2 separate regions of the Mus musculus genome follow, and region 2 is reported to be linked to region 1. The links are microRNA targets in miRTarBase. Many come from high-throughput screens and were not tested one by one. Region 1 holds a microRNA gene; the other region holds the end of a gene's coding sequence.

Region 1 (3,000 bases):
GCCCCTTCTTAGAATTGGGAACAAAACACCCATGGAAGGAGTTACAGAGACAAAGTTTGGAGCTGAGACGAAAGGATGGACCATCTAGAGACTGCCATATCCGGGGATACATCCCATAATCAGCTTCCAAATGCTGACACCATTGCATACACTAATAAGATTTTGCTGAAAGGACCCAGATATAGCTGTCTCTTGTGAGACTATGCCAGGGCCTAGCAACACAGAAGTGGATGCTCACAGTCACCTATTGGATGGATCACAAGGCCCCCAGTGGAGGAGCTAGAGAAAGTACCCAAGGAGCTGAAGGGATCTGCAACCCTATAGGTGGAACAACAATATGAACTAACCAGTACCCCCTAGAGCTCGTGTCTCTAGCTGCATATGTATCAGAAGATGGCCTAGTTGGCCATCAGTGGAAAGAGAGGCCCATTGGTCGTGCAAACTTTATATGCCTCAGTACAGGGGAATGCCAGGGCCAAGAAGTGGGAGTGGATGGGTGGGGGAGTGAGTGGGGGAGGGTGTGGGGGACTTTTGGGATAGCATTGGAAATGTAAATGAAATGAATACCTAATTTAAAAAAAAGAAAACAGGTTAAATAGACCTTAAAATAATTTTAAACCTTTAAATCTCCATAATACTTGGCATATAATGCTTGTGTACCATGGCTACTGACATGCAAGACACAAAAATGGTAAAATAGTGTTATGTTTTCTTAAATGCCTATTATAAAATAATTGAATGTTATAATTAAATAGTATTCTGTATGTTTGTTTCCTATATGTGTTCATTGATGAAAGGATGGGTACATGATACATCATACATTCCCTGTTTTTAAAATATCTTTTTAGTGAACTTGTAAATGTGAGATGCTGTAAAGGCCACTTATTTACTGTTTTAGCCTGTATTGACTAGTGTCCACTTACAGCCACAGCCTAACATCTTTACCACAGAGAAGCTAATTAGGTGTCAAATTAAGAAGCAAGGACCATACACATATTCACTACATATGCATAGTAAATTACCTGTATATATCACGTATGAACATCTGGTGAGCAGCAGTGAGGTGGCATGCAGACTTAGAAAGTGTCATTCCCCTGCCCCAGCAATGAACAGTTCTCCTCTGCAGGGTCAGTGTGAAGGACAACTTCCTTCCCACGCATGCTTCTCTTTCTTTATTACAGTGTGCACTGTCATTAGTGTCGTAGGTTAAATAGTTTTTTTATGCACTTAGAAAGGCTTATCCTTTGTTTAGAAGCTGTTTATCCCCTTCATTGAAACCATTCCTTAATCTGATGTTTTTGTTCTGTAATTTCTAACCCTGAACTTTGATAAGGTTAAGATACCAGAAAAGTAGTTCATGTTGGCAAAAGTACTAAGGAACACAGCCCTGATTATCAAGGTAGGTAAAAATGGCCATAGAATGTTTTCTTCTTATTTGTCCTTGTTTCATTCTTGAAGTGATAGTTCCCACAGGAGAAATACTAATTGCTTAAACATAGCCACATTAACACTTCCCCCAGACCCCTGCAGCCTTCACTTCTGCCCATAGTAGCCTATATGTCAAAGATTAACACTGTTCTACCCTTTATGACTATTGGTAACTTTCAAGAAAACTAAATGCTAATTTCAGTTTTTAATTTGTGAATGCTCTTTCCTTAACCTGTGTTTGCCACCTATAAATTTTCTTGTCGAGGATTCTGAACCAAAGCAATACAATAATCGAAAAATATAAAAGTCAATAATTTTGAGCAAAGTCAAAGCATAATTTTAACATAAATTCCTCATATTTTATTATCAGGTAATACATATTTATCCTTAGTGCTATTTTCACCCAAATCCCCTAGCATACCAGTAAACCTTAATAACTGTGGTTATAACTTTAGCAGTGCAACCGTTTCTATCCATATTATTTAAGGCTTTAGTCATTTAGTGAAACTGTCGTATATTTATGCCTTTGGCATTTAGAGAGCACAGAGCTCTTCTACAGGAAATAATGCTTTGAATTCTGGGACTGGTTTTCCTTCCATTGAATTGCTTGTCATCCAGGTATGGGTTTGATAAACTGACACAAAGGTGAAAGAAGTTCCTCTCCTATGTCATCTTATCAAATACACTGTGGACAGCACATCTTTGTGGTGAGTACAGCTGCAGTCACTCAAGGAATCCATGAAGCTTATGCTCAGTGAAACATAGCCTCAGTATTTTCAGGTGATTTTAATGAACACCTGATAAAACTGAGGTATAGTACCACAGAACTGGGAATTTCCCCAAACCTAGGAAAAATAAACAAATGCACAGGGTTATAGGATGGAAGCACCCCTTGTTCATCTTAGTGGCAGAAGAGACATTAATGAAAGAGATAATTCTTTAATTTGCTTTCATTCTGGTAAACATTGTCAAGTTACATTATAAACATACTTGAATTTTAAAATAAGAAAAATGGAATAGAATTGATTTTATATATACTTTCCTATTTTGCATAACATTAGATAGTCTGAATTTTTGCTTTTATCTGGATTCATATTTGTTTAATTTCAATTATTTTATTTGAAAATACATCCTCAGAAGTGTAGTATTTTTTAAAAACAAACAAAAAAGCCTAACAGTACACCAGAATCATTTGTATACTGTCCAGGTTCAAGAATTGTCATGTGAGAAAGATATTTTCTGAAATTTATTCTTGCACTAAAAGTATATAATTCAGGCTCAGGTCAAAAGCTGATTCTATTAATCCAAAGTAACATTGTTAAATCTTTTCAATTTTGGATGAATTTACCTGCTATATACAATATGGAAACACAACTTTGGCGATTCCTTCTATTTTTTTTTTTTTTTAAGTCTTTGCAGAGTAAATGGCATCATACAATTCCAGTACCTTCTCAGTGTGGCTGCAGGGCTGTGTGGACACGGGAGGCGTAGTACAGTGGTCCTCGGCAGAGCAGAAGGTGCTCTCCATCCTGCTAAGAACTGCAGCATCCAGGAGCTTTTCTGAACAAGGGA
Region 2 (3,000 bases), not on the chromosome of region 1:
ATGGGAGATAGTCAAATGGTCCAGTGGTTAAAAGTATTGGTTACTCCGCCATAGCATCCAGATTTTAGTCCCGGTATCCACGTGGTGGCTCACAATTGTCCCTAACTCCTGCTCCATGGGATCTGATGCCCTTTCCTGACCTTAATGGGTACCAGGCATGAACATGGTGCAAAGATGTACATGCAGGCAAAATACCCTCACACATTTAAAAACATGTTATATGTGCGTGTGAGAGTCCATGCAAAAGCACGAATGAAAGGCAAAGGAGTATTCGATCTCTTGGAGCAGGAATTACAGGCATTCGTGAGTCACCTGCTGGGATTTGAACTCTAGTCCTCATGACTGAACAAGTGCCCTTCACCACTCATCTCTCCAGCTCCTCTCTCTCTCTCTCTCTCTCTCTCTCTCTCTCTCTCTCTCTCTCTCTCACACACACACACACACACACACACACACACACACATACCACACACACACATACAATCTTTGATGTAGTGTGGCCCAGGCTGGCTTGAAATTCACTAAATAGCTGATGACCTTGGATTTATCTTCCTTCCTTTGCTTCCCGAAGTGCTGAGATTACAAGCGTGTGCCTTCATGCCAGATTAATTCCCACTGGATGGGGACTGAACTCAGGGCTACCAACTAAGCTACATCTCCAGCCCTTCAACACTTTTCAAACAATGTTTGATATACTAGATGCCTTTATAAAACCATCATGGCACACTAGGGACTGTGACAGGCCCAGGAGCAACCTGACTTCCCTAGGGATTATGTGTATCAAGGATACATCTGGGTTTGGACATTCAATAGACCTGACTAGACAGCTAGTTCTAGCTAGGTTTGGTCTGTGGTTTGAGGCAAGTTGCTTACCTTCTCTGAGTCTCCCATTTCCTTATATGTAATATGACATCAGTTCTCGCTCCAGCTGCCCTTGCCAAAGATTTCTTCAAAAGACCTGCCCCCCAAACAGGCAGAGAGGGAAAAAATGGGCCATAAGAGGGATGGAGGGAGAAACCAAAAACATACACTAAGTGGGACATAGAGACATGCCTGTAACCTCGGCATCCAGGAAGTGGGGGCGGGGAAATGGGAGTTTAAGAGCAGGCTAGATTACAGTGAGATGCTGCCTCAAAAACCCGGGATGAATGCTGGGTGTGGTGGCACGCACCATTAATCTCAGCACTTGTAAACAGGCAGATGAATCTCCAAGTTCCAGGTCTCCAGAGTGAATTCCACAACAGCCAGGGCTACACAGAGAAACCCTGACTCAAAAAACAAAACAAACCCTAAGAAAACCTAACGTATAGTAAGGATTTGGGATGTGACAGATCTCTCTTCAATGCTATCAATGGAACCTAGGGCCTGGGGCTTCTAGGCCTGTGCTCAACCACGCCAACTCTAGCTGATGTTTTAAGATTTTTTTTTAAATTTAATTACTTATTATTTGGGAAAGAGGTTAAGACAGGGTTTCTCTATGTAGTCCTAGTTGTCCTGGATCTCACTCTGTAGTCCAGGCTGGCCTCAAACTCACAGAGATGTCTATCTCCCAAGTGCTGGGATTAATGACGTCTGACAGGAAGTGTGTGGGTTTTTTTTTTTTTTCTTTTAAGATAGTTGAAGAACTGTGGGAACTCTTAGAACTGGGGTGGTGGTGGAACCATAGGGGACCAGAATGGGGTATAACCCAAGATGATCTTTCAAGAGCCCCCAAATCAACCTCAGCCAATGGCCAAGTGCCCACGGGGAAGACAGAAGCAAAGACACAATGTCTGTATAAAATGTTTATTTTCGGAGGACAGTGTGGTCTGGTGTTTGGGTGGGTGCTCCACTCAGCCAGCCAACCAAGAAGCTGAGAACAGATGCAGCAGCAGGCTGACTGACAGGCCTGCTCCACCTTGCACATCCCAGAGCACACCAGGCCCTGCCTGTTCTCAACTCTAGAGCGAGAGTCAGAGAACTGGGATTATTCCTGCCCCAGCAGACAGACCCCCAAAGAGCCCATGTGACGTCTGTAGCACCAGCCACTCTGCCCCTCCTTACAGGGCTACTTCTATACATGTGAAGACACACATGTGTGAACACACACACACACACACACTAGTCTGAAAAGCACTGTTTAGTTTAGCTGCATCTGTCAGGTTCCAAAAGGAATTTTCACATTTGCTTACTTCCAGATCTTCCTCTGTCCCCAACTTCTACCTGCACCCCAGCTCTGCCTTACTCCTTTCTCAGGGACTCCTCCCTCCCTGGCCACTTGGGGGAGGGGCAGCTGGCCTCAGCTCTCCCCTAAAACAGGCAAGAAAACAACAACAAAACCCTATGAAGCTTTAGCGCAAGGGCTCCCATCTTCCCCCCCAAAAATGTAACTATTAAAATAAAAAAAAACAAGAAAGTAAACAAACAAACCAAGAAGCATAAATAAACAACAACTGGGCCAGCAAGGAGGAAGGTAAGGTGGCCTTCGGCGGTGGCCTCCTGTGCCCAAACCAGGCTCTCCCCGTGGAACTCAGCCATCAGTAGCCAAGATGACGGCAGCCCCAAAGATGCCCACACTCTCGCCGAGTAGCTTCATCTGGTTCCAGAACTCGACGCGTCGTGTGTTGTGCCAATAGGAGACGTTGCCGTCGATAAGCAGCATGACAGGAGGTAACAACACGGCCAGGATCTGGGCGGCCAGCGTCACATAGTAACCCGACAAGAAGGCCAGGGCCAGGACCCCATAAAGCACGAAGAACAGCTGGACCATCAGCTCCCCTCCTGGAAGATGGTTCAGGTACGCCAGCCGGTCCTCCTTGCTGTGCTGCAGCGAGTAGGCCTAGAGACACACAGCATCCTTTTAAGACTGTAGCAGATAGGGCTGGAGAGATGGCTCAGTGGTTAAGAACACTGACTGCTCTTCCAGAGGTCCTGAGTTCAAGTCCCAGCAACCACATGGTGGCTCACAACCATCTTTAATGAAATCTGATGCCCTGCTCTGGTGTGTGAAGATGAAGACAG

What was found. Region 1 holds the annotated microRNA mmu-miR-875-3p (CCUGAAAAUACUGAGGCUAUG, at 2,189-2,209, opposite strand). A microRNA usually pairs through its seed, bases 2 to 8, with sites in the 3' UTR of a target mRNA and lowers its output. Matches are read on the target gene's strand: a 7mer-m8 pairs with bases 2 to 8, a 7mer-A1 pairs with bases 2 to 7 and ends in A, and an 8mer does both.
Region 2: the mRNA of Tmem101 is a reported target of mmu-miR-875-3p. Seed matches in the 3' UTR shown: 8mer at 2,105-2,112.

What each region holds. Positions count from the first base shown.
Region 1 is chr15:35,658,794-35,661,793 of GRCm38, forward strand. It overlaps Mir875 (microRNA 875), which reads right to left and starts at 2,254; the gene lies at 2,177-2,254. The region is part of intron 30 of Vps13b (vacuolar protein sorting 13B); the gene reads left to right. It overlaps Mir599 (microRNA 599), which reads right to left and starts at 2,125; the gene lies at 2,038-2,125.
Region 2 is chr11:102,150,777-102,153,776 of GRCm38, forward strand. It overlaps Tmem101 (transmembrane protein 101), which reads right to left. Exons shown (of 4, transcript NM_029649.2): 4 at 1,771-2,818. The coding sequence ends at 2,510. Among named protein-coding and RNA genes, the nearest start is that of Tmem101, 4.1 kb to the right of the region's middle.